Linked DNA regions of Drosophila melanogaster. The protein of the gene in region 3 interacts with the protein of the main gene of each other region in a pairwise test. Each region holds a gene or a part of one and is shown on either strand. Other genes may lie near its edges. The genes, in order: CG15167, SC35, indra and CG14545.

Region 1 (6,398 bases), on a different chromosome or scaffold from region 3:
AAAAAAGAAAAAAAAAAAACCGAAAATCCAATGAACGGAGCAGCAATTGTAACATCAACATGAGATGTGCCCTGGCTCCAAAAAGGAGCAACGTGCCCCAAGATGCAGAGAGAGAGATGGCCACATTCGAATAGAAAGAGATGGACTATGGAGGCATAGGGAGTTGGAGTTAGCTTGTGCCCGGGTCTTTTGCTACTTTGACTTGTCGCTCGTTCCAAAACGTCGAATGCGTCTAATTTCTTGGCTTGCTTTTGGCTCTTTTTGCGGCTGCCTATGTTTTTTCGGCTTTATATCTGTCTCTTGGCCAGGCAAGCGGGACAGAGCACGGCAATGAGTTGGGCCAGGGAAGGGGTGGAGTTCTCGGTGGATGTCGTGTCTCGGTCTCCGAAAGTCTGGCTCCAAAGCCTTGCGATCCATTCGCCAACGTCTGCTCGGCGGCTGCCGCGTTTGTCGTTTAAATCGTACCACCACAGGCGACATAAAAATAATGAAGTGTGCGGGTGTGGTCGACTCGCTTTTGGCCAGGTCTGGTCTTCAGTCTTCAGTCTCCAGTCCACAGTCTTCGGTCTTCGGTCTTGGCTCTTTGCGCTGAGCCTGGTCCTCTCAGCCTGAGCATGCATCTCGGCCCGATTCGGGGACTGACTGGCCGATCGGGGCGACTGTCGACTGTCGAACGCTGCGACGTTTGCAGATTGCCGAGTCGTGTTTGGCCCAGCGGTGCGGTGTCGGCGGCCCATAACCAAATCAACATTTTGCGGGAGTAGTTTCTTGGTCGGGCTCCCTTTTTTGGAATGATTTTATAGGGCGAAATGGCAGCCTTAGTTGGCCGAAATGAGGCTGAAGAGGAGTAATTTGAATATGGTTTACAAGCGCTCGGGCATTATTGAGCTAAAAATTGGGATTAATTGAGATGATTTATATGATAGGTAGTTAAGTTTGTTCGTACTCTAGAAGAGAAGAACAATAATAAAATACATTACTTTACGATTTTACTGAATATCAAAGAAAAACATTATATATTTCATATAATTCTCCATTACATATATAAATTAAATCGTAAATTAAAAGAGCTCACTTTTATTGATTTTAAATACTTAAAAAAAAACCCACACAAATAGTTCTGCTGCAAATGTTTGTTGGGTAACTCGCTGAACACACGCCCAACCAACTGCAAAAATATAACGGTATCCAAGGTTGTGCTACGCTTAAAATGTAATTGTTCGACTTAAAGAGCCAGAGCAACAACATCAGCCAACAGCGAAACAACAAAACCAGAAACAACAACAACACGGCGATCAAGTTTGCCGCCGTCACCTTTTGCCGTCTAATCAAATACCAGACCAAGACCCAGGGAATAACGCCATCGCTTGAGACTCTGAGCTACCCACCTATGGATACGATACGATACCATACGATATGTAGATACATCCCATAACCGGCAGATGCATGTGCAGTAAAAAAAAATAACACGCATTAATAACTACATTAATTAGTCACCAACTATTGTGTTTCTTTCAATATATATAACATATTTGTATTTCGTACCTATCAATTTTACCTATTATTTGCCAACAAAATTACATACTTCTAATGATCAACAAGCATTGCACCATTTAAATTTAAATGATATTATCGAACAGAATAAGTATTATAATATTTACAGTTTTTAAAGTTTCTAATATACAATTAAATACATCATGATTGTGCAGATTATGATTTCTCTCCGTGTCGATGTATGGGCATGCCTGCATGGGCAGAGAGACACCAACCAACACATGGTCGAATCCGAAATTCAAATCCCAGCTCAACGTCATCGAAGCGCCGCACTCTGGAGGACTCCGCGATGCATCGCAGCGGGTCTTTGGGGGCTGGGGCGGAATTTTCACTTGAATATTCGACACACTTTGAGCCCGGGCACACACAGCTGGAAGTCGCGAAGGTTTGCAGGATTTCCAGACTCAGATTCAGATTGAGATTCAGGGAGGGGCGCCACAGCGCGCTTGGCTGTCTCAGCGATTCTTGGGGCTATGCATCATCATCATCATCATCGGCCGGGGCCGGCGTCGAAGTTGGAGCTGCAACATGGCAACATGTTGCAATCTGCCAGCTCTGCATGCATAAAATATTATGCAACATTATGCCACAGACACAGGCCAGACGACACTCTTGGTTTTATTTACACTTTTTTCGGGCTGTGGCCACCCCTCGCCCGAAATGTTGCTGCTTATTAGTGCCGGGATGTTGACAGCGTTTAGATCTAATTGAATCGCCCGGATCGCCGATTTCTGTGCCGTCCGTAGAACATTTGGCTTGGCCCGCTCCCATTTGGCCCATAACCCATAAATCTAACACACCGGCACGAGAGATTTATAGAGTTCAGATTGCGAAATGCGCAGAAGCACAGCACAGCGCGCAGCGCCGAGCTCGGAAAATCTTGAAAAATTAAAATGACTAGTGCCGGGGCACGATCAAGACCGTGCTGCCGTCTTGATAGCAGACAATGGCAACTCCGGAGGAGATGGAAAGCCCAAAAGCGAAACCTCAGCGGTAGTCAGCATTGGGGCGTCTGCAGTTCAACGTTCAAGTGGCACAGTACGCCCTAGAAAAATGAATTGATTCGATTGTTTTTCGCCGCAACTCGGGCTCCTCTACTTTATCTGCCAGCGCCGAGCGGAAAAATCTGAAAATGGTTAGACAAAAAAAAAACGAAAAATCAGGGGCAGAGGCAAAGGCAGAGGCAGGGAGCGCGCCCCGAAAAATACTGATGATACAATCGCGTTTTTGACTTTGAAAAGTCAGCTTCGAGTCAGCCGGGCTATTGTTCAATGGCCCAACTGCAGCAGCGGCAACATCAGCAACAGCAGCAGCAGCAGCAGCAGCAGCGGCCGACACTGATTGTTATGGTTTATGAGATGAAAATGCACTCGAAACAATATTCTGGGGCCAATGCAATTTGCGATTTTTAATCAACTCCTCTCGTCAGCACTCAGCAACAGAAGAAAACATCGTATTTGGGGGCCCCTGATTGCAGCTTCCACTTCGAGAATCGTGGCTCCTTCATCTGGCTTTTGATCTTCTCCCCGTCCCCGAGATGATTCCCCTGGCTCCTAGCCTGCATCCACTCGACCATCATCTGCAGGCCAGCAGAGCTGCCCTCCAGTTCGCCGCCCACTTTGCGGCCACAGTGCGTATGCGCGATGTAGCCACACACCTTAAGTTCTGCGGCTTTGTGGGCCACAACTGAAAGCAGGGCCTCATCGGAATCTTCGGGCACACTCATTTCATACGCTAATAGGTAGATCTCTGGCTGCGGTTGGAGTACCAGTTCCAGCGACATTTTTGGGAATGGAAATTTGAGTATGTGAGTTTTCACGGCTTTTGAAAATAAATGATCCAGATTTCCTAAGTTACTCTGCTGATGATATATAATCGAAAAATTTGCGTGGAGTAAACATCACTGATCCATCCAAAGGTAAGCATTTAAAACAAATTCTGAATCTTTAAAAATGCTATACTTTTATATTTATATAGATTTTCGTAAAAAGTATTTTTATAAACTATCAGGAAACGTATTTTAAAACAAAATGTCAATTAATAATTATGCTTTGCGTAAGTCATCAGTTTAATCAATTTAGTTTAAAAACAAACCTACACGCCAGTAAATTTAGCTTAACACTCAGTACAATCCAAAATTATAGCCCTAAGTTATTTGCATATCTTTCAGCAAAACTAAACAAGAAATGACATTATTAGGGTCCTACGATTGGATGTTCAATGAGGATATTCAACTTAGGACCGAGTTTAAGTTGTACAACATAATGTCAAGGAACCAATTTCCGCGTCGAATTCTTCAATATTGCCACAAAAACCATATAACCGGATACATAGTATTCACCCACGGGGGCAAACAAGCATTTGGAGTGATGGATGGCAAGCGGAAAGATTTAAACCGGATAAAGCCCTACCTTCTGAGGTTTTGCATTCCAGAACCCTTTAACCAACGAGTCACTTTTTCAGCCTACGAGTTATGCTTCAATCCGAACAAAGAGAAATTTAATATTAAGGATAGAGTTCCTAAGGGCGCCAAGTTTCTGGGAGATATATACGAGGACTGCTTTCTGAGGTTCAAGAATCAAAAACCGGAACCGGAAGAGGAAACCGAGGCAACTAAAGCCTTGTTCGCAAAATATTCCGACTTCTTTAACTTAAAATATTTCGTCAATTGTTAATGGACAATATATAGCTAAGACTATGCCAGCACAATTCCCGATTCTCTTTAGTCGCAGTGATTTCTCGCAGTGTGGATGCGACTCGTGCTGGCCATTGTTCAACACTATTTGCGGCACTCAATCTCTTAATTAAATATGCGACTAACTGGCAGCTCGGAGGCACTCGAAGAGTGGCCCAGACATCGCCGTTTAGTGTCGAAATTGTGCAAGTTTTGATTTTCCTTTTGTTGTTATGGAAGTCGCTGTTTGTATTTTTTTTTTGTTTTTGTTTTTGTTTTGGCTTGGTTTGGTTTTCTTGTTCGCTGGATAATCACAGGCCCGGCGAATAGACGGCAGAAATTAAATCAGCCAAGGTTATCGCATTAATAAGCCCCCTGGTTTGGGTTTTACAGTTTTCTGAGCCAGTCAATTATTAAATTTGCAATTTCCGTAGCTGAACTTTTGGGGTCAGTAGACTGATTTAAATCAAAACCGTAATTGAGCATTGCCCGCGAGCTAGAACCAATCGCACCAAAAACCAAATACCAAATACCAACCTCCGGGCAGGAAAATTGACAAATGTTTGATAGCTAGCTACCTTTTCGGATTGCTTGTTTCACGTGCATTTATTTTCCTCCAAAAGCGGATGTGGGGACGCTGCGAATCCGATTCAGAAAATGTACAGAAAAAAAATCGAAAATCAAAAACTCCCAGCTAAGTGGCTTTCCATGACATTTTACTGACACTCTTGCCGTTGAACTGGAAGACCTGTTTTCATTTTCCCTCTTAGCGCAACTTAACACATTTGACGAAGATGTCTATGCCAGCAAATGACGTGTCATCAATGGAGCCCGCACTCCCACATAAAGATGCACAGCGTCCTCAACTCGATCTCGGATCTCACATCTCGCATCTCGTACCCCGGCCACAAATCCCCAGCACTTGAAGCTTGAAGAGATCTGTTGGTGCTGTTGTATTAATAAGCCTGACATTTGAGCAGAGCATCCACTCGAAGCCATCGGGTTTCGGTTTTGCGTGTAGGCGTCTGAAAATAATAATTAAAAAATCGTTTCTAATGCGGAAATCTCGCGTTTTTGAGCTGGGGGTGAGCTTAATGCCGAAGATGTTAGACAAATATATCAGATTTCTATTTCTTTTTTTGTCGCGCTCCTCGCTTTGGTTAATCTTCCAGTGGACGGTTGTGGGGGATCGGCAAATCGGTGACATGGGTAAAGATGGATCGTTGGGAAAGCAATTGAACAGTGGATCGTCAGAGGTGAGTTGTGGAATCGTATGGGACCACAAGATGTAAAAAGGTGTAAAAAAGAAAAAAAAAATCAGCTTCCAAAATGTTTTTGATTTGTAGGCACGTCAGAAAGTTGTAAAAACATCCAAGCGGCAATGTATTAGAAACATGAAAATTAATTGGCTATAATAAAAAATAATATCTTTAGGTTTTATAAATTACATGATAATTATAAACCCATAATGTATTTATTGGCTAACCAAAGAAGGAGTTTATTCATAATATATCTTTATAATCGAGCACCTAACGGCAGTTAATCGTTAACAATTAAACAAGTCACAACTACGAGAGATGGACAGATCGACAGCAGATATTAAGGCCAATAGGTTGGCCATTGGGCTGGGCTGTGGCCGAAAGCATTAGGCCAAGTGTCCCGGCCCGCCCAAGAATTCAAAGACCTGGCCCGCCCAAATAATTAAATATGTAAGAGGCAAGAGCCCAAGTTAATAACAGCTGCTACCACAGAAGCCTTTTGCCGGCCAAACGTTAAAAATTTAATAATCGCCTGCGAGTATAAGGCGGCCAGATGCATTCGTAGGCCCAGAGATACAGATACAGATGCAGGCCCATGCCCATGCCCAGGTCGAGATACAATATACAATATACTATAATATGTACTGGTGCAATATACACGAAGGCAGCAGGCTCTGCGAGAAGGTCAGACCTCGCACGTTTCATGGCTCATAGCGCTCCTATCGTATAATTAGAAACGAACGACGACAACACGACGACAAACAACGACCGCCGTTCGCCGCTGTATCCGTATCTGTGGCCCGAATGTATCTGTATCTGGGAAACAGGGGAAGGTCTCTGGCTCTGGATACGCAACAAGCGATTCTCAAATGAGCCAATTGTAGAATGCCCGACTACGTCAGTGTGTGTGT
Region 2 (9,195 bases), on a different chromosome or scaffold from region 3:
TTTTTATGCACAAAAATAAAAATGCAAATGTCATGCCTTTTATTTTTGCACATGAAACAACTGTGTAAATAGTTTCTTTTTAATTTAGGTCGGTTTGTTAGAAACTTATAGCACTTCAGATGATTTAAACTCAGGGAAGTTGAGCTATCACTTCACCAATTATATACTTCGTACTACCACTCATGCACTCGCCGTGTTTGACCTGGCGGCCACATGCTAATTGCTAATCGCTGACTCTAGCCACCCGGGCGGATGAGTCATGTGCGGGATTGGATTGGTGGAGTGCTGTTCTGTGCTGGTGTCAACGTGCTTGGTTAATAGTAGTTCCCGAACCTTTGACGTAAATGTCGGAGGATCATTTGACCGTCTGGAGATGGGCTGTAACGAATGGTATCCCAACTCCACGATTACTAACTTTTTCTCCACTGCGAAAACGAGTAAATGTAGCGAGATCCGGCGCCCTTACTCATGATTCCGATGCATACAACTCAATTCTAATCGGATTTCGGAACTAGGAGCGGATGTAGATATAGCCGGAGAAACGAGCTTCGATCGCGCCAAAGTGTAAGAGCCAACAGCAAATGCTATTTTTTTTCGGCGCTTTGGCAAGCGCGCCGCACAGCCAAACGCCATGTAATCAAGTTCGAAGCGGTTTCAACCGCCGGCGAGCTGCACTAAGCGCTTCCATTCGGGCCAAGCAACTACAAAAGTCGCCACATTGGAGTCGCTGCGATAACGACGAGTGAGCCATTCCCATTCCCATGCCCATTCCATTCCAGTCCACACCGCCAGTCGAAGCTGGGCGCAGCGTAGGCTCCAATGAATGGCTGACAAAAGAGTAAACGTGTCCAAAACACAAGAATTGGGGGGCAAGCATTTGCGAGTGTGGGTGCGGAAGAAGGGGACAAGGCAATGGCCAAATAAACGACACCACAAAGCGAAGCGGCAGTAAAATGGCAGCACAAACAGCTGCTTGTCAACGTCGCCCGGCGAATGGCAAGTAGGTGAGTGGCCACCAGAGATGCGCCGTGATTGTTAACAGTTTAACAAGTGACAGTGATAAGTCGTTACATCGAGAAATCAACAAAGCTAAACAAGAAAGTGTTTTCTAACTATGAAATTTTCAGAATATTAAAATTATGAACAAGTTTATAGAATTGAAAAATACACAAGGCTAGAATATTTATATTAGCATATTCGTGTAAAATTTTCATGGCTTAACTCTTAAATATCCCAATTCTTGAAACTCAAAATACTGAACGACGATTAAGAATATAAGAATACTATTCGGACGAAAGTTTTCACAAATCCCAAATCCCAAGATCACAGCGAGGCGTGGATTGTTTGATGTTCATGTACATATAGATTCAACAAGTATTTTTAAATGTATGTACCTACATTTGTTTAAAGCAAAAATGTCAAAGTGCATGATTAATTCCCAACCATTAGCTGGTTTCTAGAAAACAACTAGACCTGATTTGCGGTTATTTCACCATTTGGTGACACCTCTGTAGTGATTCTGGTCGTGATTCCTGGGCATCTCTGCGCTGAGCCACTGCTGGCGACACGACGACGAGAAAAGCGGCCAAAGAAAGGGCCCTGGCCGGACGAACTGTTTTTGCGCGCAGGCCGAAAGCGATTAGCCATTTGTTTAGCGGCACAATAATGCCCGCAATTCGAATAGAAGTCAAGCAACACATGCGACGCCGACGTCGGCAGTGCTGACGCAGATTGAGGTTATGTACTAGGGCCAGCGATAATAACCTAAACGGAACCTGGTGAATGCAACCTATCTTTGGGGTTTTCCCTATCCCATTCCCCATTGTTGTGTCTCTGCCAACGGTCTTGCGACCAGCAGGTAGCAACAATAACACGCTTCTTTGTTGACGTCACAGAAGAAGCGAGTTCAATGGACGTGGGGCATGTGTATTTGGCAGGGGGTATTTAGGTAGCTAGCAAGCTCTATTTACCATTGTTTGCGATTTTGTCCGAGGGGTTGAGACCATCGATGGGCGTTGGATCCGCCGCCGCTGCTCCTGCTGAAGGCGTGGTGGCTGGCGAACCCGGCGCTGGCGATGCGGAATTGGAGGATGATGTGGGCGGCTGTGCTGAGGGTGCTGCTGCCCCCGCCCCCTGTGCAGTTGGAGGCGGTGGAGCTGCTCCCGCTGTGGATCCCCCGCTGCCGACGGAATCGGGTGTGGTGGCTGGCGTGGCTGAACCGGAGGCGGGACCCGGATCCGCCGTCTCCTCGGCCGCAGCCGCTGCAACCACTACTGCCGCCGCCTCCTCAGCTACATTCACAACGCTGTTGTAACTGAAACTGGGCACAAATTCTACCGCGTTCACGTTCAGCGTTGAGAACTTTGTGCTGATCTCCGTGTTTTCCTGGGCGGCCATCGTTGCAGTGCGTCCGTAATCCTCCGCAGTGGTTTCCTCCGATGAAAATCTCTCTCTCGCTTTTTTCACGCGACGACACACTTTCGCCCTCCTTCTACAAACTGCTTCAGCTGCTTCTTCTTGCTGCTCCCGCACTCACACAGAACACACGCGGTCGTTCGGAATTCTTGGGATTGCCTATGGTAATGGAAATTGGGAATGGCAAAAGCAATGCCACCAACACACGCACGCCTTGATGGTTGTTGGCCGGGGGGGTGGCTTGTGGGGGGTTTAGGCCAGACTTTCGGCTCAATGTGGTCTACACTTTTGTTGTGACTCGGTGTTGTGTTTGTTGTTTGTGCTTTGCTAGCCTGGCCAACTCGGGTTGAACTCGAATTCCCTTTAATTTGATCGACTATCGCCTGTTTGGGGCAGTGGTGACCACCTGGTGATCTGCAGGTATGATTCGACTACCTGAACACTAAATGCAGTGCTCGGAACTAGCAATCTTCTATTATTTTACACGTTTTAAGCCACGCATCAAGTCAGGGTTGCCACTTGTATGCGGTGTTATCGGTGCATCGATATGTGCTGGCTGTCACAGTGGCCTATAATTGATTTGGGGCAAAGTATTAAGATATTTTTAAATTTTTTTAGTAAGATTTTTAATACTTTTAAAATTATTCAACATAAATAATTATATTGCTTTTGTACTTTGTTCTGATTAATATAATTTTTTAAGGCTAAATATAACGTAGTCCACATGTACATATATAAATACAAACTGTATTTGTTTTATGTGTGACTAGACATTAATAATTTTTTATTCACTTTCAGTGAGTTTTTATAATTATTAATTTAGTTATTTTGTATAATAGAAGTGTAATGCGAGTTTTGTAAATATTGATAAGTGTGTAGTGAGCCTTGGGGTTTCAATACATTTCTAAGCTCATCATCAATGGTATCGAATTACAATCGATGTTGTTCCAGCTCTAACGTCGTGCCAGACGCCATTTTAACAGTAGTGAAAAAATCGTCTGGAGTTTGGCTCGTTTTCAGCATTCGCATTAGCATTTTAGCGGTAAAACAAATATCCAAATAGACAATGAGCAACGGTGGTGGTGCCGGGGGATTGGGCGCAGCGCGTCCACCTCCACGGATCGATGGAATGGTCTCGCTTAAGGCAAGTATCTGCTAAGTAAAATGCGACTAAATCGCCCACAAAATGGCGGCCGGCTGGCAACGTTGTGTGGTTAGGTAACCTCTCCAAAAGCATGTAAATTAATCCGCGTGTAATTATGCCTACAGGTCGACAATCTCACATATCGCACCACGCCGGAGGATCTGCGTCGGGTCTTCGAGCGGTGCGGCGAGGTGGGGGACATCTACATACCCAGGGATCGCTACACACGTGAGAGCCGCGGATTCGCATTTGTTCGGTAAGCATTCACTTCTCTTCCGGGAAAATTGTGAAAGTCTTAGGTCTTTTTTGTTTTGTTACTTTCACTTGCCGGCGGTGGATTTTAATTATCATGGGACCTAAAATGTATCCATACATACTAGGAGTAAAATATATGTATTTCCCGAAAGTATACTGCGAAAATCATGCTATACAATCACTCGTCATATCCGCTTTCACTATCTACTTTATAATGTTTCATTGAAAACTAGCACATTGAGGAAAAATGTTATGTATTCCCTGAATTAATCAGGGTATGCAAGCAAATTACAAAAGTCTCAGAGTAATCATTTAAATATCATTTGAATATAGCTGCTATAATAAGTACGCCCCTTGTCTAAACTCAAATATTCCTCTCATTTCATTAGAACTATTTGCATTATTTGCTATCATCGATTGTGTATCAGTTGCTAATCTGTACACTTTCAGTAGCAAAATGGTGCCAGAACAAATGTGTTCACTTGCAACCGTTGCCTACTCAACATTTACTAGCCAACGTACAGAGAATACTACATCTAAATAATAAGTTCTAAAGTTATAGTTTCATAACATATGGCTTCAATGATACATTAAGTTGATACAAGGTCACTTATTCTATTTATTTGTTGTATCTACCTGCATTATTTGCCCCTTTTGAATGTGTAACAGCTTTCAGTCTGTACATCTTCTTTAGCAAAAGGATGCTAGATTGAATGTGTACACTTGCAACAGTTGCCTACCAAACCCCTGCTAGCCAACTTACCGTAAGCCCTACAATTAAATATAGACTTAAATATAAATAAACGTATGTGCAAAGTACACACGAATCTAGTTGATCATGTCCTTAATTTTTTAGCTTCTATGACAAACGTGATGCCGAGGACGCACTGGAGGCCATGGATGGTCGCATGCTAGACGGCAGGGAGCTCCGCGTACAGATGGCCCGCTACGGACGCCCCTCTTCGCCCACTCGCAGCTCCAGTGGTCGTCGTGGCGGAGGAGGAGGCGGTGGTTCCGGCGGGCGTCGTCGGTCACGTTCTCGCTCCCCAATGCGCCGTCGTTCGCGCAGTCCGCGTCGCCGATCATACTCCCGTTCCCGCTCGCCTGGTAGCCACTCGCCGGAACGCCGATCCAAATTTTCACGCAGTCCAGTACGCGGCGACAGCCGCAATGGAATCGGAAGCGGATCTGGAGGACTGGCCCCAGCCGCGTCTCGTAGTCGCAGTCGCTCCTAGATATCGACGTCACGTTCCATTTAGTGGGAGTGCGAGGTGAGTTCATATCGTGTAACGCTTCAGAAAAAGCTTTATATAAGGTTAAACATACCTTACGTTAAATAGGGATTATTTTAAAACTAGTTGTTCTTTGCTTTCAGATATGACTCGCTGACTAGGGCCAATGCTGTATCCTGTTCCGGATCTATGGCTCCATCTGTGTCATGCTGTACCCGAACAGCAGGTATAGAAACCATTATACAATCTTACACTTAACACAACTATTTATAGCGAACTATTTTAAGTTTCGGCAGAGTAAATAAGTAGAGATCAGGCATGATTATGTTCCGAGTGAGATCCCCGCAACCTGGGCGATCCCTCGATGTCGGTTCTTGCACATAGGCTTTCATATACTAGAGCGTAGTAGAAATCCTTGAACGTAATCAGAAACAGAACAAAATAAACTCAAATTAACACGGCTTCAATTCAATACCTAAATATCAAATGACAGACAGGACAGGAGGAGAATGAGAGGTGGATGAGTGATAGGAATACTCTAGGATTCTGTTTGTTTCGTTGCGATTCGATTCGATTGCGTTTGTGTTGCTCGTTTCCGTTCTTTGTACCTTTTAACGACAAACTTATTAACAAGCTTCTCCCACACGTTTATTATATATATGCAGGCGAATGGTGTGTGGCAGTTGTTGCGGTTCAGATAAGATTGTGGTTAAATCGCTCGCGATTAAGGATCAGCAGCAGCGCATCATCTAAGCTACAACTCCTTCCTCACGTAGGCGGACACCGCGTGGCTCCTGATTGTTGCTACTGCTGCTGCTGCTGCAGATGCTGATGCTGATGCTGCTGCTGTCGCATGATGCTGTTGCTGGTGCCGCTGATGCTGCAGTTGCAGTTGCCGTAGCCGTAGCAGCTTCCTGTTTCCTGTTAGACGCTGGCGCTGCCAAAGCTGCTCCAGATTCACTCATAGTTTCCCGTTTCCCGTCACTTCTTCTCTCGCCTCGTCTCGTCTCGTCTCAACTCGCGATTTGTTGCTGGTTGGCGTTGTTGGTGTTTTCCTGTATCTTGGTGGGCGTCCCTTTTGAGTTTAGGCGAAAAGTCATCATTTGCAGCAGAGGCCACATCGACGATGCGATGGATGCTAGAGTCTGGATTGCATACTGACTCGACCGAAATGTGGGATTCCCTAACGATCTGGTACATTCGGTAAGTGAGAGAGCTAACCCTTTGAATTTGCAGCCTAATTAAACGCTTCAATAAAGTTTTACTTGATTATAACTTAACCATCTACATATGTTATTAATTGGTTGAAATGGGGTTTTAAAACATATATGTATCTTGGAATATTGTAAAGAAAGATCTAGTATCTTCGGATGCCCAGAACATCCATCCATTATGTTTCGGTTTCTATTGACTCCCGAGAAACATGGTAGTCGGGGGGTATATTGACAAAGCAGTTGCCGGGAAACCGAAGGCAAAATCACATATACCCAAGTCCTTCTGAATACGATTCAGAAACCCTTTTACACTTTCATCTAAATTATATTGGTTTCTCCTGCAAAGATGATTCAGTACGATACTGTGCAGATCAAGAATGTATCATGGTAAGCTTTAGTTATGCCCGACTTGGCTCAAGATGACTATTGTGTGCTCTCAGGCAGCCGGAACTGCATACGGAGGGCACCTATGTGTGCTCTTTTCCAGAGCCCCCGCTGCCGGAGGCCCATCTGAAACCGGGCACCTGGCATGGCCATCTGGAGCCGTATCAGCGGCTCTTCTATCATCAAACGATGAACTCGGTGCGCTCGAGCAAGCGGTACCGTGCCAATCCGAACATCCCGAAGGATACGCTGGACTTTTCGCTGCAGTCGCGCTACGATCACACCCGCGAAGCATTTCCGGACAAGGTGGACTACGTGATGCAGAGGGAGACGTGCCGCGCCATAAGTAGCTGGTCAGCTCCTGGGGCGGCCAAGGAAATTGGTTCCCAACTCAAATCATTTCGGGTGTTGCGCAACACGCGCTTCATTCGGCGCAAGCAGGAGGACGTATTGGGTCATCCACTTCGCATAGGTAAGATCACAAAATTGGTACAAACCTAAAGTTCTCGACGCATTTTAAGTAACACCCACTTCGAATCTAATCATATTGTTGCAGGCGGTTGTAAAGAAAAGATTCATCCGCACAGCGTAAAGCTCATTTGCAGCGGTGTCCACAACCAGCTGGTGAACAATGGATTCTCGCGCCAGACCTCCGACGGCAACTTCTTCCGCTATTAGTTCCACAAATCTGTGTTTGCTTTCCCAGAAAGAATACCATTTTGCGTTTTGGGTTTTACAAACATTATTGGAAATAAATTTGGGACACAGAAGCAGTCGTCACGCAGTCGCCTCCAGCTTGGGCTGCTTGGGCAGGTGCTCCACATCTCCATCATACTCATCCACTGCTTGTGGAGTGTCCTGTTGGTCATCCTCCGCCTGTTGCTCCGACGCTTTGTGACGCTGTTTCTTGTTCTGGTTACGATAGCTCTTGGGTAGTTTGTTGTCACCAATCCTGAAATTGGATGGGAATTTAGTATGCGAAAGTGGGTGGCTCGATTACTTAGCTTACATAATAGTGGCTCTGGTTCCAGGTCCCCAATGTGGAGTCGGATTCTCTTGGAAGCGCGATAATGCCGATTTGCGACTCTTCGGGTTCGCCTCCGGATGGAGTTCATCGAACTCGTAGACAGCAGTGCATTCTTTCGAAAGTATGGCCGCCAGTGGAGATCCAGGAATCATCCTTTCGGGATTTACCGGATGTCGCTTGCTCCAGCTGCGCAGAATGTCCCATAGCACCGCTGGTGGAGCATTGGTTTTCAACGAATTCTTCGAGGCATGCGAGTATGAGACTCGATAGCCAGCGTGGAGAATAGCAGACCGGAACTTTAGCATGGGCACGATTTCTAGCTTGAGCACACAGCACAGTTTGTCCGGCGTGTAGTAAAGGGGAACATCCTGCAGCTCCTCTTGGACCATGGAAAGAACTCCAACGATTCGTCTCTGGGTTCCCAGCGATTGCAAGGTGGTCTCCTGGACCGCCGTTAAAAGATCCTGCACAAATTCGGGGTTATGAATCGGTGCCGACCAGATGGGTCCACCCAGATGATGCCTGTGACCGCAATGTTCGCACTGCGAGTTGACCGCCGGACCAGTGGGAATTCCGAACTTCAGCTGCTGGGGATTACCAGCCGTGGGATTTGGCTTGGTTATGCCCAAGGGCTGCAGCGTGAAGGTCTCACATCCGGTGCATTGGTATATCCAAGACTGCTTGCTCATCGACAGCTTGCATTGGGCCTGGCCGACGTACACACGCACAAATATCCGGATGTAAAAGTCCGCTGATATGCTCAGTAGTGGTTCGATGTACTTGCCGTACCTGTTCGCGTGGCTCTCGATGCAGTGCAGCAAAATGCGCAATGCCATCTCGTGACAGCACTTCATCCGCAGCGGAACCGATCCGTATTTTACATAGCAAGCTTCCGGAGCATTTCCGGCCAGCACGGCCATGTCGGTGGCTGTCACCAGCAGCAGGCCGCCGTCCACCAGGCACTGCATAGCGCCATCCAAAAAGCGATTGGGACATCCGTACGGATCCAAGTCAACTGCATCAAAACGCTTCTCGGGTTGCGTCGAAAGATACATGAGGGTCCTGTACGATGTATTGGAATGCCCCATTTTATACCGTGTGCCAATAGCTTAATTATAAACCTACATTGCATCGGAGTGACTGGGCTCGATCAGCTCCTCCACCTTGTTGTGCCGGATGTTTGTGTTGATCGAGGCCACTGCCTGGCGGGAAAGATCGTTGGCCACGATCTGGCGTACACCGGCGATTTCCTGCGCGTAACGGATGCTACGCAAACCGGTGGCTGCCAGTGCCTCCAGGATCCGAAGTCCATCCTCATATCGAGTACCGGCCTCATAAACAGGTGGATCCTCGGGAACGGGAGTGGTCTTCTCATCCTCCTGTTCCTTGACCTTCTTCCGCTGCTTTTTGAGCGCCTTTTCGCTCCGCTCCTTGGTCAATCTCTGTCGATAAACATTCAGAGCAGCAATGCTCAGATCTCGATTGAATTCCTGGACAGGATTGTAGAACACATTGCCGCCGGAA
Region 3 (9,010 bases):
GAGCCGACAAGGCCCTGAAACTGCCCCACGTCAAACTCACCGTGGAGCTCGTCCGTCTCGAGACCTACCAGAACTTTGTGCGGCGATGGTTCAAGTGAGTAGAACTCTTTATTCTTCTTCTGCTTCAAACCATTTGTACATGTGGACTAATTGCCTTTGACTATTTCTCTAGATTAACCGATCTCGAAACGCAGCAGAGTCGTGAAGTGATGCAGTTCCACTACACCACATGGCCGGACTTTGGCATTCCCAGCTCGCCGAACGCATTCCTTAAGTTCTTGCAGCAGGTTCGCGACTCCGGCTGCCTCAGCCGCGACGTGGGTCCAGCCGTAGTGCACTGCAGTGCCGGAATCGGGCGGTCGGGCACCTTCTGCCTGGTGGACTGTTGCCTGGTACTTATCGACAAGTACGGAGAGTGCAATGTGTCCAAGGTGCTCTGCGAGCTGCGCAGCTACCGCATGGGCCTCATACAGACCGCCGACCAGCTGGACTTCTCCTACCAGGCGATCATCGAGGGCATTAAAAAGCTGCACGATCCCGTATGTATGCGCGACCAGCGGTCGGCGTTTGGGAGTCAAACTTGGGGGCTGCCAAGCACCGCCGTATATATTGCACATCGCTATTTATTCTGGGGGGTCACAGAAATCTCTGGGCTTGGTTATGGTTACTAGAATTCATATTGTTTAATGGAATTATGATTACTTTTGAAAACTGTATTATGTTTAGTTTTGTTTTTTATTATGTGATCTAGTATCAGCTTAATGATTATTGTTTAATTGATGCGAAAAAGAAACCATTGTTTTTGGTTTGCAGAGATTTCTGTGAAGGCCCTGATTATTTTCCGCGACTAATTAGAACATTTGATTTCTCTTCAGACCTTTCTTGACGCTGAAGAACCCCTCATTAGCAACGACACAGAGACTCACACACTGGATGAGCTGCCGCCGCCATTGCCCCCACGCGTCCAATCGCTTAATCTGCCACTGGCCCCCAATTCCGGCGGTATACTTTCGCTCAATATGCGCGCGGCCCAGGCTAATGGAGCTGAAAGTATCGGCAAAGAGCTGAGCAAGGACGCCCTGAACAACTTCATTAATCAGCACGACATGATCCACGATGCCGAGGTGGCCGACAGTCGTCCCTTGCCGCCATTACCCGTAAGGGCTTTCAACGATTCGGACAGCGATGAGGATTACTTGCTGGATGACGATGACGAGGACGACACCGATGAGGATGAGGAGTACGAGACCATTAACGAGCACGATGCCGATCCAGTTAATGGACACGTGCCCGCGACAACACAGCCACATGCCGACGATGTTAATGCCAACAACGAGAAGCCAGCGGTGCCAGTCGACGAGCAGCACAAGGCGAACGGCATCGATCCAATTCCAGGCCAGCTCCCAGCCAGGTAAGAATCTAGTCTTAGATCTGCTCAGTATCTATTTTTCAACCGCCTAGTCAAACAAAAATCCCTCTAATCCCCTTCCAAATTCGTACTTTTCAGTCCCGAGAACGAGCTGAAGCGGCGAAAACGCAACGAATACCAGGCCAGCCTGGAGCAGAAGGTCAACGACATGAAGCGGAAGCAGCGGGAGAACGAGGACAAACAGCTGGCGGCAAAGAAACGAAGGTCATTACTCACATATATTGCCGCTGGTGTTGTGGTGGGCGTGATCTGCGCCTACGCATACACGAAGCTAGGTTAAGTGCCCCGTAGCCACTAAGTAGTCGTAGATCAGTAGTAGCAATAGCTGTATGACGTATTTAGTTGCCGTAGGAGACCGATTCCTCCCCTGATACCCGATTTCCGACTTCCGATCCCCACCTGCTCGTCCGCCTGACCCGGCATCTAATGCGGGCAACGAATCAAGGACGACGTGCAACGGATCGGAAAGGATCAGAGATCGGACGGAATCGCATCGCAACGCCATGCAATCGCACACGAATTGCGGATGGCGGATTGATTGAGCTGAACGAACGATACAAGATGCATAAATATTAGGGAATTTTTTATATACGAAATACAAGAAGGAAAACAAAAGAAACAAATGAAAGAAAAGAAGCAACTAAACTAAACTAACGAAAATCGGGTAGAAATCACGTCAAATGTAGATTTTGCGCAATAGACTGACATTTTAGATCAAATTTATTTTCTACACTCTAAAAATGGATTGATAACCGACCAGATGCCCCAAACGAGCCATACCAAATGCAAAGCTCACCCTACTTGCTCGCTATGCTTAAAATATTAAGAATATCATAACTACCAATGTTTCAAGCACCCGACAACCACCCACTACACGCTTCACTTGTTGTTGTACAGCAATTTCTTATAGCATACGACCTATGTATATTTATTTATGAAGATTATGAGAAACCACCACTTGTTGTAGTACATGGCAAAATATAAAGTGCAGCAATGTGCCAAAAAGAACCGAATCGGAGAATTGTACGAAGTGTCCTAAACGACTCTTAATTTTACTTTGCCTCCCGCCTACCACTACCACTAACTTTGAATTGTTGTGTTTAAAATTAAAGACCCTGTCCCCCCTTAAACGAGCACTTTATTAATGAATCGAAATTCAGCGCCATTAAAGCAATAACTTACGGTTAAACAAAACAGCTCGATGTACACCTATATCTCGTTTAACGCTTTTAAGGAGTGTTATAATCAAAATTGTTCATTTCGCACACTCGCCCCCGATCGATCTGAAATCAAAATAAAGTGATTCTTTTTTCAAATTGTGACCGTGGACTAGTTGCACGTGGCTAGTTGCAAATCAAATTAAACTAAAATCGGTTTACTAAGTCGCTAAGCGAAGTATAGGTGTATGATTTAATTATAATCCAGGTTTTGCCATAGCGAAACCATTTTGTATTAGAACGAGAGAACGAAGAAGGCGAAAGACTATTCAATGGTTTTTCCAGTAGAGTAAGTGTGCAGTCCCAATCCCAAGAAACATATTTATATAAACGTGTAGCGTGAGAGGACGCAAATATTTTTTATATGTGTAACCCACACTTTAACAAAATTCAAGTAACCACCCCCGAAAGCGAGGCACTATGAATCCATATGAAATCGGATGGGCCCAGGAGGATAACAAATAAAGGAAATACATATTTATATTAAGTATATTTAACAGAAACAACATGAACAATACCTAGTAATGCCTAGTTAACTAAACGTCGGCTAAGTACACCAACCGTACACTGAAACAAATCCAACACAACACAGTACTATACAATATTATGCCTATGAGAGAAAGAGAAAGGAGGAGCAGAGAAAGTATTCAAATAAAGCTATACGTTTAAGACATGAAAACTGCGAACCGCTTGATCCTGGCGCATTCCCTTGCCATGTCCTTGTCATTCATAACATTTTTCATCTCTTTGTTTGCAGGCGCGGGAACCGACTCAAAAAATCCAAGACAAAGTAACGGCACAGCCCATCCAGGTCAGCACCAACACAAAGAAACAAACTAAACATATCATTTTGCATTACTGTAGCTTCTAATGCCTAAATAAACTATTTTTAAATTGGAAACCAAGTTCAGAGTTATCGATTATATATCGACACGCAAAGCTGTTGCATAACGCGACGTGAGCATTAACAGAATGTTAATGTAACTTAGTGTGACCGGAATGCGCAATATACTGCTTTGGTAATATTTTTTAAAGTTGCTACTGCCATTATAGGTAGTTTAAAAACTGTTTTCTACACTCTTTCTAAATTTGATGCAAAAATTATTAAGATTAAGATTCGTTCTGCGAACGTTCTGCAGTTGCTTCTTTTAACGTGCAACCATAATATATAAGCACACTATGTGGTATATTTTGGTGACTCGGTCTGGCAGCACTGCAGTTGATTAACATAGATAGCAGTGTTTGGTAACTGTAGCCCCGCAAAAAAAAAAACGTGCGCACGTTGTTTGATTTCTGTTTTTGTTTTTGCTGGAAAACTTAGTGAAAATATGACCAAGGTGCAAAAAGAGGTGCGATGCGACCATTGCGGCACAAGCCAAGGGTCCAAGAGTGTTTTTTCAGGTCAGAAGGTGTTCCTGGGCAGGAAAATAACAGACGTACTGGAGACCATCACCCACAGAAGCGTGAGTTGGAAATGGCGGCATTCTGATTTCCCTTCTCGTCATCTAAATCATCCCATCCCATTTCAGATCCCATCATCCTTGCCCATCAAGATATGCTTCGTCTGCACCTCCACATTCATGTCCAGCGCGGCACTAATCGAGAAGGTCCGCGAGACGGTGGACAGGGTACAGGAGCAGCCCGCCAAGAAGACTAAGGTAGCGGAAATAGAGGAGCCATCGACACAGGAAAGCGATAAGAAGGCGGTTAAGGTGCCAAAAAAGAACACCACCCTCCGTCAGCGCAGCAAGTCCATAGCAGCTTTCCCGCCAAGCTTTGTGAATGGAGCTAATACTAATACAGAAATCGAGATCATTAGTGCTTCGCCCAAGAAACTCGATAAGACCCCTAAAAAGCAGATATCTCGACTCTTCGAGGATAATCTTAACGATTCGGTTAAGCTGACGCCCGCCAAAGAGGTGTCGTCTACTAAAAAGGCTTTCCTTAATCTCTTTGGCAACGGCGGCAACGATGCCATCGAAGTACTGACCGAGAGCGAGGAAGAGGAGGACTCGGATAAAGGTCCTATCACCATTAACACAAATAACTTTCAGTGTCCAGAGTGCGAATTTCACGCAAAGTTTCCCAAACCGTACAAGGAGCATCTGCAGAAGGAGCACGGTCTTCAAAGACCACGCATATACCCCTGTACCTTGTGTATTAAGACTTTTGGAGTGCTTAAGACTTTGAAAAATCATTTAAGGGACACTCACTCACGCACTTTTGAAAGCGAGGCTAAGACTAAGGCGAAGGAAAGCAAGGAAAAAGAGGCTAAGTCAGGGGCCAAGAATAAAATTGACGCAAAGGCAAAGGAGACCAATGCTGTGAGTCAAAGGAAGAAGCCAAAAGAAAAAAAGTCCAAAGAGAAAAAGACAGAGATCAAATGTAATGTTGAAACCAAAGTGGTTGACGAAATCGACGACCAAGTGAACAACAAAAAGGGCACAGATAGTGAGGACGCAGACCAGACCCAGGCTACCAAAATCGCCTCCTTTAAAGCGCTAAATGAGTCATTAATGAAGAAAAGGATGTTAGAGAACGTGATCGACTCGGAATATACATTTGCCATCAATGGATCCAGCGCCTCCACTCCCAGGGCGGATTCGAATAATTTTCAGTGCGAGATCTGCGACTGTGAGCTGATGACCGCCAAGCAGATGCAGGAGCACATGAAGACCGTCCACAGCATCGACAAGCCAAAGGTTTTCAAGTGCCACGTCTGCGAGAAGAGTTTGGCTACCAAACAGTCGCTGAAAACGCACATGACTCTACATGCCGACGGTGCTGAAGCGCCGAACTCCAGCAAGCGAAAGATTCTGCAGGACGAGGATGAGGACGTAGACATTCTGGGTACGACTCAGATTGAAAACACGGCCGAGAAGGTTGAAGGACCTAAGAAATCACAACAAAGCCCTACTAAAGCCGCAAAGTTCACCAACCGAAAGATTCTGCAAGAAGAGGATGAGGTTGTGGAAATTGTGGACGCTTTTAAGACTGACAACACCGCGGAGGATGATGAAGGACCCGCAGAAGAAAAGATTATACGATCCAGGAACAACATTCAGCACCAGGTCGATGGAGGCATGATTGCACCTCGGTCGCCAGCTAAAAAGACAAAGAAGACCAGTCACGTAGATCTGTCTGTGTCCACAACCAATGGCAATTCGCCTGCAAAGTCAGAAAAACGAAAAAAACAAGACAAATCTGAGGACACGCTCCCCTCATCTGATGTAGACATAGTGGAAGAAATCAACTACAACGTGCGGCCGCACAAAAAGGCTCGCCTGGAGTCCATTGGTGACTCAACAGCCGACGAGTCGACCCTCAGCTGCGACCGGTGCGGGAAGTTCGTCAAATCGCGTCAACGCTTGGACTCGCACATGGAGAAAAAGCACGCCGCCAAACTACAGTGCACCCTATGCAAGGAAGTCTACCAGAACCAAATGGATTACGTGGCTCACTTCTCGAACTGTGGTTCCGAAGGTGGACTTCCATGCGGCGTAGCCAATTGCAAGAAGGTCTTCACGGAGGCCAACTTCCTATCCTCGCACCTGCGCAAGCGCCACTAGTTGCACTAGACTCCCTTTTATTTTTGTTTTTCATTTCATTCTCTTGACCAATGTAGTTTTACGTTAGCTTATTGCTATGTTAAGTATAATTCTTTGAATTTTCAATGGCTAACTTTGAAAGGGTCTATATAAAGTTGATAAAAGTCGATGAAAACTGCAATTTATAACAAGGTTACTTCATACATTTTTAACTATTATTAAGTTCAATTCAAAAGATAAGTTTAATTTGTATATTAAGACTTTATTATAACCGCATTGGTTACACCACTTGTACTCACCAAGAGTATATAAATTAGCTTGAATGTAATAAACATATTTGTACTGAGCGATGAACTGTTAATAAAAAATGGCAAAAAGCTACGAAATTGCTTGTTTCAATCAGTGGAGAGAAAAAATGACACAATATGAGTTCACTTATACATTTATTTGTCATATTCCCGAAACAAAAACAAAACTAAAATAACGTTTACGCGGAAACCAACCATTAACGATGCATTCGCCGGGGAGAGCAGAAGGATTGAATACAATACCGATGTTAAATCAGGGGAAGCATGAGTTCTCCACGGGAGTTCAACAACGAGGCGGAAATGAAAAACATTTTGTCTAGTTACACTTTTCTACTTAATGTAAACGATGATATTGATGACGGGCTCAAGACGACGCCACTTTGCCGTGAATCTCTGCCTGGGCCACCTTCATCACGTCGAGGGCGCCGCGCTTGATCAGGTCCTCCGCCAGCGTCTTGCCCAGCTGGTTGGCCTTCTCGTAGATGCCCCGACTGTGACAGGCGTGCTGGTAGAGACCGCAGAACAGGTTTTCCACATCCTCAATGAGCACCGAGTGCTGCGGCGTCGGCTGCTCCTCGTCGGCGTAGTCGAACATTTGGACCGTTTTCTGCAGGAACGGGCACTTGGCTGTGGCTGCGTTTCCGTTGTCCTTAGCCGGCGCCTCAAGACCGCTGCCCTGATGCATGGCCGCAAAGGGACACTTGGAGGAAGTTGCAACATTATCCACTTCATCGCCAGCGCTGCTGGCATTACTGGCTCTGCTGCTCGGTGGCGTGGGCAAAATAGAAGCTGATGCTCCTGCCACACCGCCAGTCACTGGACACTTTCCAGCTTGGGCAAAGGATACCTTCACATCGTTGTTAACGTACGGACATTCGCCCATGAAGTCCTGTCCCACGGGCATCTGTAGTGGACAGTGAGCAGTGGTGGCCGATTCCCCTCCACTTCCACTCTTGGCGCTGAAGGAATCCCCAGAGTCTGCATGCGCTACTGGACATTTGGCAGGAACCATTGCCTGATTGTGCGGCACTGGGCACTGGCCCATCACTTCCTGACCGCCCACCAAGCGAAGAGGGCACTGACGGGGAGTGGTGTTCACATTGTTGGTATCCGCATCGCCACCACCACTAACTCCGGTAGGTCCCACAGCATTGTTGTTACTCAGCACTGGGCAGTGACTGGCCAGATCCGAGAGCTGATCCACAGTGTAACCGGAGAGAGCTGCGCAAGCAGCCGCATCCTCACAGATCACTGGAGGGCTGCCTTGCTGGCGCGGACTGCTGGAATTCGAGTCCGAACCCGAACTGTCGTTGCCATTTCTGGCACGCTTCGTGGCCGGGGGAGAATCGCAGCTGCTGCTGGTCTCCTCCTGCAACTGGCTGGTGGCCTCCTGGGCCCCTCGTTTCCGTTGGTCCCCCTCCAATTTTTGTTCATTTAAGGCACATGCCAGATGGTTCCGTATCTCTATTGCACCATCCAGGCTCCAAACTGCACCGGTGAGGGATAGTCCCACCTCCTGGCTGTTTCCATTCAAGGGCTCGCCCTTTAAGTTGCTCCAAACAGCCACGGGGGCGGAGCAACCCCCTCCCAAAGTCTTCAGGAAGCTTCGTTCTGCTAGGATGCGGCACGTTGTATTCAGGCACATAAGTTTCTGCAGCATTGCCAGCACTTGGTCGTCATTAGCCCGACACTCCACGGCCAGGGCTCCTTGGCCAACAGCATAGAGCAAGTCGGTCGGCTCCAGCACCTGGCTAATACGACTCATCCAGCCCATTCTCACCAAGCCGGCCTGAGCGAGTATGATGCCGGAGAACTTGGAATCGGCTGCATCCAGCTTGGCCAGTCGAGTATTTAGATTTCCACGGATGTCGCACACCGTCAAATGGGGATACATCCTGCGAATCTGGGCTGTGCGACGAAGAGATGAGGTTCCTGTGGATATAGGGTACATTTGAATCATTTTAATCACAATTAGCCATATTTGTCACACCCACCAATCACGCTGCCCTTTGGAAGCGAGGCTATCGTGTGGCCCTTGAAGTTCTCCCGCAGAACGAGGGCGTCCCGCGCATCTTCTCGCTCCAGCACGGCTCCGATGGCCATTCCTGTTGGCAGGGCTGTAGGCAGATCCTTGAGGGAGTGCACCACAAAGTCAACGCCACCGTTGCGCAGCGCATCCTCGAGGTCGCGGGTGAACAGGCTCTTCTCGCCAATCTTAGGAAGGGAAACGTTCAGCACACGATCGCCAAATGTCGACATGGTGTCTGTAAAATACAATTAGACCGGTTGAAACAACATAGCGTTTTGTATTTATCTTACTAAATATTTAACTTTGATAAGCGATTTCATATTCATTATCGTACACAATTTACTTCTTCTGACCTCAGAAATTGTACCCACTTGAAACGACATCTTAGATCAATAATCTAAGGATGGCGTTTCCATAATTGCAGTTTGTTATGTCATCATCACCTGATAAGGAACCCAGTAGCACGCCAGGTTCTCCAC
Region 4 (6,685 bases), on a different chromosome or scaffold from region 3:
TACAGTACATAAAACATGCTGTGAAAAAAGGGGTAAAAACAGTTGTTGCCTTGAGAGCTGGCATAATTAGTCCTTCTTTCGTATGCACCTCTTTATGCAATTTAAATTAATTTGTGTAATTATTTTAGTGACTTAACTGGCCTTATTTCAACACCCTCGCCCGCACCGAGTGACCGCTGGCAGCAGTTGGCGTTACGCATACGCCACGTTGCATGCGTCTTAAATATTTGATGGCGGAAATCTGGGGCCCGGCAAAAATGACAGCTGCGTGTTGAAAATAATTAAGGCGCAATTATAATGACCCTGGCCACGAACCGCAGGCACTCACCACTCATCACCACCGTTGAAGCCACCCCCATCCGTTCGCCTGTTGGCATTGCAATGTGTTGCATGCAACACTAGACTTTGTGGCGTCGCCAACAATGACGAAAGCAATCCATGGCCATCGAGCTTGTGCGCTCTGGCAGTTTCCCATTCCACTCCACTTATGCAAATTGATGCGAAATGTGGGCTAAGATTTATGCTTAAATCTTTTGGAAGGACATTCTGCAAATATTTACCCAAAGAAATAATTTTAATATTCTTATTCTGTTTGCAGGAAACACGTTTTACTCAATTTGTTGTTGAACAGCAATACACGATCACCGACGACATCCTTTAAATAAATACAATATACAAAGTACAATAAATAACTAGTACAAAATTCGGACCATGTAGGTTTGTAATTGATGACGTTTTTCAGTTGAGACATGGATGACACAAAATGCTTTGCAGGGAAGGCTTGGTGGCCGCCCGAGATTTGGAGATGGGACTATAGGCGAACAGTCAGTAGTTTAGTTGGCATTGGCATCGATTAGGGGAGGCACTTCGGATATATCAACAAGTGACTTTGCGGTGATAGCGTCGCCATCACCTACGAGCTCCTGGGTGTCTGTCGCAATGTCAACGGTCTGCTCCTTTTCGTTCTTAACGTTTGAGGCATCACCCGCTGCCTCTAGCTCGGCCTTTGACTCCGTTGCGGCTGATTCCTGAACGCCGTTCGCCTCACCGTTCGTTGTGGATGCTGCAGCTTCCGCCGCCGCTGCAGCTGCTGCCTTTGCCTTGGACTTTTTCTCCTTCTTGCGTATATTCTTCTTGGCATTGTTCGCCTGACGCTGCTCCTCGGCCTTCTTCTTTTCCTCAATGGAAGTCTTCGATTCATTCGTCGTTAGCAGCTTCATTTGGTTCTGCAGATTTGCCAATGTTTGCTTCAGTTCCGCACAATTGCGAGACATCATTTCCATTTTAACATTTTCAGCACTAACTGGCTTGACGTTTACTGGCTCTGGTTCAGGAGGCAACTGCGGCAGGGCGGGTATTTCGATCTCGTGATCCCGCAGGCACTTGTGCAGTGTTGTCCTCTCCAGCTGTAGAGCACGCAGTAGCTTCTGCAGCTGCTGTATTTGCTTCTGCAGGCGCTCTGAGTGCTGCGTCTGCAGACTCTTTTCTGTGGCTAAATCGATCACCATGGCATTAGCTTTCTCGTACTTTTGCCGCCAGCCCAGCGCCTCCTTCTCGATCTTCTTAGTGTGCTTGGACATCTTCTCAAGCTCCACCTTGTAGCTGCCGAAAACCTCATTGGACTTCTGCAGCGACTGCTGGAAGTCATCGTACTTGGCGGTGTATATGTTCAGTTGCTCCTTCAGTTGGTGCTCCCGATCGGTGAGATCCTTTATGGCACGTTGCGCTTGCATCAGTTTCTCCAGGCCAATCTGGTTTTCCCTGAAAGAAATGTGGAGTTTAGATATTTTTCGTGTGGATTAAGCTTTGACTAAATCATATCAAGTGAAGAGCAAACCGAGTAATATGAATTATATGCTAGCCACTCAGCTGTCCTCAATCAAAACCAGTAATCTCAGCGAGTTTGTTAAATAAAAACTTGTTTTCTAATGTGTGACCATCTATGGTCCGTTTATCGCGAGATGCAGAGAAGCGCCGGATGACCCGGCATGTTGTGCACATACTTGCTCAATATCTCCTTTTCCATGGCAGCCTCCACCTGGCATTTTTGCAGCTTGGCCTGGTGCAGCTGGGCCTCCAACTGAACCTGTTCATTGAGCTTCTCCAGGTGCTGCTCCCTCGTTTGGTACTGCTCGGCCAGCAGCTTTAACCTAAAACGGGAGACCAGATGGTTAGGGAAAATCGGAAAACAGAGAACGTGCGTGTGCAGTGGCTATATTTAGAACGCGGATCCCCGCAGCGTTGCGGCGATGCTTACTTCTTGGTCATCTCGATGTTGTAATCGCGCAGCTTGATGTTCTCCTCGTTGTTCTTGGCCAGCGACTTTTGGACATCGTTCAGGGAGCTTTGGAACTTTGTCTGGCTCTCCTTGCGCCGCTCCTCCTCCACTTTGATTTGCAGCAGGCTCTCGTTCTTTACGGACTTTATGATGCGCTGCTGTTCGCGGCACACCTCCTGCAGCTTGTCTCGCATCAGGACGCTCTTGTTAAGATCCCGCTGAACCTGCTCCTTCTCCCTCTGCTGCGACTCCATTTGGCGCTGCAGGACACGCAGTTCCGCCGTCAGCCGGCTTACATTCTTTTCGCTGTCCACATGGCGTTGCAGCAGAAGTTTCACCTTCTCCTCGGCGGAGGGGCATTCGTCAAGGGATTTCATGACCTAAAATAGATATAATTCCGCCTTAAATTTTGTCTATTTATTCCCGTTTCCATGGATTCTGGCAGTCTATGGAAATAGGGTTTGGTTCTGGCTTTTGGCCATCACGCGCTCTTACCAACTCCTCCAACTTCTGGTCGCGCTGCTTCTCCTCGCGCGCCACTTTTTTCGCCTTGCTTAGCTTCTCCATGGTCTATTCAAAAATCGGTGCTATATTTAACTTGTATTCTATTCCTCTTTCGAATTTTGACTATATTTGTTGTTGTTGCTTTGCTTATATTTATAAAACAGTGAGACAGTTTCGTTTTCCGGCAAATACACTGAAAAGCGGTGAGAAGTAATGTTACGTTTTTATTTCGCATCCAACTGGTCACACTGAATTTACGATGCTGCCGGAGCGTCAGCCGGCTTCTTTTTCCACAAAACCTTTTAAAGTGGCAAAAACTTATAGGAGTCCAAAAATATTTGATAGTGTGTCAAACCAAAAAAATGGTTTTACACATGCTTGTTGGCGCCGAAAAACATTTGAATTATAGTCTTGCGTGCAACAGCCCACTGTTATGAGTTAACAGCACCATGTTTCAGGGTACCGAAATCTACCGCCAGGTGCTGCAAATTGCGGATTGCAAGTGCAGCCCTCGCTTTACAGTTATTCCCGCCACCACAAGATCAATTGGAAATTTCACAATTTGCCAAATTTATTACCAAATTGGTCGTTTTAAACACGTAACATGTCGGAAAGAGAAGAAGAATCGATTGCATACTTGATGGAAAATGGCATTTTCCCTCGACTTCTGGAGATTTTAAAGCAAATGGTGGATATCGATCCGTTGCCATCGGACCCTCTGATGCACATTTTGCATTTTCTGGGCTGTCCGCTAATTCCGCAGGTTAGAGTTGAAATTTTAACAATATTTTAAATAAAATCGTATATGCTTGCATCCATTTTGTATGTGCAGGCCCAAATGAAGGCCCTGGAGCGGAAAGTGTCGCGTGCCCATGATGAGCTGCGCCATTTGCGCCGTTTGATCATCGATTTGGATGCCTTGGATCAGCTTTACGATGGCGAAAACGAAGTGGAGGAGTATGTGGGCAATGTGGAGGAAGCCGTCTCATCATCGAGCGAAGATTCCATGGTGGAGAGCATTGAGACTACGATGGACTCCACGAAACCGGAGCTTGGGCTATGTACACCGATGTCATCGCTCAAGGATTCAAATCCTTCAAATCCATAGATCGCACAGTATCGAATCACATTTGTCGTTGAGCCTTTATTATGTACTGGATACATATCTTTGGCAACTGCATGTGAGTTTTGGATGCATATTTCTATTACATTTTGTTTATTCGACGCAATGTGAGATGTAACCTCGACTTTTTATCAAGTGAACGTATAACATTGTATTGTGTACATGCCATACTTATCCATTAAAAATTGTTGACCAGCATGATGTATGGAAAATGTTTTGTTCCTTTTCATATTAAAAATACTCAATGGATTTCTCTTAAAACTAAACAAATGATGTCTTATAATACAAACACATAACTATCGAATACCTTATTATCTTATTATTATCAAGTATAATTTAAATTTTTAAAAGAACTTGTTAAAATTGAATCAGTTCGATGAGGTTGATCTTCTTTATCATCTCCCCATGTGCACAGTTGATTAAAACAAGGCTCCTGTTTTGACCCATTTCGAGTTGAGTGCCATTAAACCTCTCAACCTGTGGGAAATCAATAACTAATATATGCTACATGGTTTGCCGGCAATATCTAGGGCCAAATAAAACAACATTTCAATTAAGTTCAACATGGTGAGGTGTGTAGCTGCTGTTTGGCAGCAAAACGGGGAAATTTAATTTGCGACTGACGTCATAGATTATAAAATAAAGGTTGCAATTTAATTTAAGGTTCAGGGGATTAGTTTGTTCATAATTATTGGCTTGCGAAAAGCTGCTAATTAGGTCGGGCCTTTAGTAAAATGCAGTGAATTAATACATATTTGGATTTGTGCTCAAATGCATTTCAAATAACGCGATGTAATATAAAATAAATTAGTTGACGCACGTTAGTGTTTAATTATTTAAGTTTGGCGCTTTTGCCTAGTTGAATATTCTCGTATTCCTTTAAAACAATTCTTTTGCAAAAGTATAACATAAATGTAAATAATACTTTAAGTAATACAGTTTAAATTTCCATGGAAACTTAAATCATACATACATACATCATGTATAAAATATGTTAAAGGTTATTCATATGTGAAAAGCACTTTTCACATGAATTTAAACATTTTTACGACAAAGCCAATAATACTTTCGTTTTTATGCTGCACTCTTGCATATTTAATGCACCTTTTCTTGCGTTAAATTTAACACGTGTGGAGCAGCCTGTAGAAGCAGGCAGCTCAATGATTTACACCGTATATTTGTCACAGTGCGATAAATCCATCTAATCCCCCGACATATGCATGTCCGGCTTGACAAATAAACTGCAGCAGGGCTTACATAAATATTACTCCCAAAAAAGAAAACATATTTTGCCACATAAAATAAACATGAACTTTTCTGAGGCGGGGCGGAGCGGAAACGGGGCGTGGCCGAGCAGCAGCTGCTTTTAATTGCTTTTGCTGGTTTTTCGAACGTTTTTGCAACTTTTTAGTTGACATTGAATAATCGCTGCGGAAATTGTCGCTTAACGGCAAATTGTGGTAAAAGCAGAGTGGACTCAGCTTGATAATTGATTGGAGCTCTTTAAAATTGTTTGTTTGACCGCTGCTGCAGGGCATTTCCCTGTTTTTTTTTTTATCTCCTCTCCGCCGTTTAATCTGTCCACGCGTGCCGACTGCAAAGTGGCCAACGGCCTGCTCTTCTTGTTTTTTTTTTTTTTGGCCAAATCTGCATGTCAGTTGGTTGGGAACGTACAACTTTGGCCACGTAAAATACGAGACCCCTCGTGCTCTCAGCCACAGGCCAAACCCATGCAAAACAAACAGGAGACGGAATCAAATGAAGTGCAGTATGCCAAGTTGGCTTCAAAGGACTGCAGGCGATCATTGAAAAATCGCGAGAGGGACTACACGAATTTCGCAAAATCCTTAATAGCTTATATAAAGCTAAAAATTGTTTTACGTTTATATGGCAACTGTAATTAATTGAAAAGAAATTTTAAGCAGACTTTTTTAAAAATTTGCTTTTTTAGGCACAGCTGGGAATGTAAATAATGTTTTTTTTTTGTTTATTTTATAGTAAATGCAATATTTATTCCCCTCCAGGGTGCCTAAAGGCCATTATAATCTTGCAATAAAAAAGCTTTGCATGTCATCAGGAATTTAATTTAACTTTCCACGTTTATCAGAAATTAATGGTTCACTACAATTTGTAAAACCTGATTATAGCATATATTTTATATTATATATGTATAAAAATGTATATCTTTGGTAAAAATTTGAATGCATTACGACATTCTGTGAGAACTGCATATTGAATGAATTTCCACGGGAAAATGTATCGGGATGTGGAAAATGTATGGAAAGGGTGGCAAGGAGCAGCTCTGCGCCGCTTCAATTTCATGTCGAGTAAATTTTAATTTACTGCTCTTTTGTGACCGCATGCAAGCCAACCAAACTTTGGGTTACTGGGGAGCTTTTTTCGACATTTTTTTTTTTGCTTTTTTGGGTGCTTGTTTGTGTGAGTTTGTTTTTTGGCTTGTTGGTCAAATGATATATCCGTATCCGGTCGGTTGGACGGTCCATTCGGCCCGAGGCCAGATGTGAAATTTTTAAAGCCAGCGGATCGCCGAGCTGCCATTAGTTTTAATGACCGCAAAAGGCAACCGAGAACAAAAAATAGAAAGTGCTGCAAAAACAAAAAAAAAAAAAAACAAAAACAAAACAGAGGGCGAAATAAAAATTCAGCTATTGCCGGCAGGCTAATTGCAGCCTGTCTGAGTGGGCGGAGGGCCGCGTGGGGGCGTGTCAAATCTCAAAACTATGCTTCATTAGCCAAGCTGCTAACTCTATTTGCCTAAT

The links.
Region 1: the proteins of indra (region 3) and CG15167 interact in a two-hybrid assay, tested with the Drosophila melanogaster proteins (one large-scale study listed by BioGRID).
Region 2: the proteins of indra (region 3) and SC35 interact in a two-hybrid assay, tested with the Drosophila melanogaster proteins (one large-scale study listed by BioGRID).
Region 4: the proteins of indra (region 3) and CG14545 interact in a two-hybrid assay, tested with the Drosophila melanogaster proteins (one large-scale study listed by BioGRID).

Annotation. Positions count from the first base shown.
Region 1 is NT_033779.5:18,737,349-18,743,746, reverse strand, and holds CG15167 (uncharacterized protein), read right to left. Parts: upstream 3,390-6,398; 5' UTR 3,338-3,389; coding exon 2,987-3,337; 3' UTR 2,940-2,986; downstream 1-2,939. Other genes in the region: CG42752 (uncharacterized protein), read left to right, coding at 3,741-4,229.
Region 2 is NT_033779.5:12,428,199-12,437,393, reverse strand, and holds SC35 (SR family splicing factor SC35), read left to right. Parts: upstream 1-3,355; 5' UTR 3,356-3,481; coding exon 3,482-3,559; intron 3,560-3,684; coding exon 3,685-3,815; intron 3,816-4,213; exon of another isoform or gene 4,214-4,369; intron 4,370-4,443; exon of another isoform or gene 4,444-4,596; intron 4,597-4,670; coding exon 4,671-5,049; 3' UTR 5,050-5,085; intron 5,086-5,189; 3' UTR 5,190-6,319; downstream 6,320-9,195. Other genes in the region: eRF3 (eukaryotic translation release factor 3), read right to left, coding at 1,971-2,397; CG5435 (uncharacterized protein), read left to right, coding at 6,607-6,647, 6,701-7,116, 7,201-7,322; Trm1 (tRNA methyltransferase 1), read right to left, coding at 7,422-7,596, 7,654-8,733, 8,797-9,195.
Region 3 is NT_037436.4:1,337,027-1,346,036, reverse strand, and holds indra (indra), read left to right. Parts: upstream 1-3,633; 5' UTR 3,634-3,645; coding exon 3,646-3,665; exon of another isoform or gene 3,666-3,967; coding exon 3,968-4,109; intron 4,110-4,175; coding exon 4,176-6,215; 3' UTR 6,216-6,577; downstream 6,578-9,010. Other genes in the region: Ptp61F (protein tyrosine phosphatase 61F), read left to right, coding at 1-94, 173-539, 876-1,411, 1,508-1,709; Hmbs (hydroxymethylbilane synthase), read right to left, coding at 6,867-8,434, 8,497-8,766. UniProt on the Drosophila melanogaster protein: Required for rDNA copy number maintenance and non-random sister chromatid segregation (NRSS) following unequal sister chromatid exchange. Binds ribosomal DNA (rDNA) preferentially binding to intergenic spacers (IGS) regions on both X and Y chromosomes.
Region 4 is NT_033777.3:25,847,893-25,854,577, reverse strand, and holds CG14545 (uncharacterized protein), read left to right. Parts: upstream 1-3,286; 5' UTR 3,287-3,386; coding exon 3,387-3,545; intron 3,546-3,614; coding exon 3,615-3,890; 3' UTR 3,891-4,168; downstream 4,169-6,685. Other genes in the region: CG5886 (uncharacterized protein), read right to left, coding at 834-1,761, 2,004-2,150, 2,258-2,658, 2,774-2,845.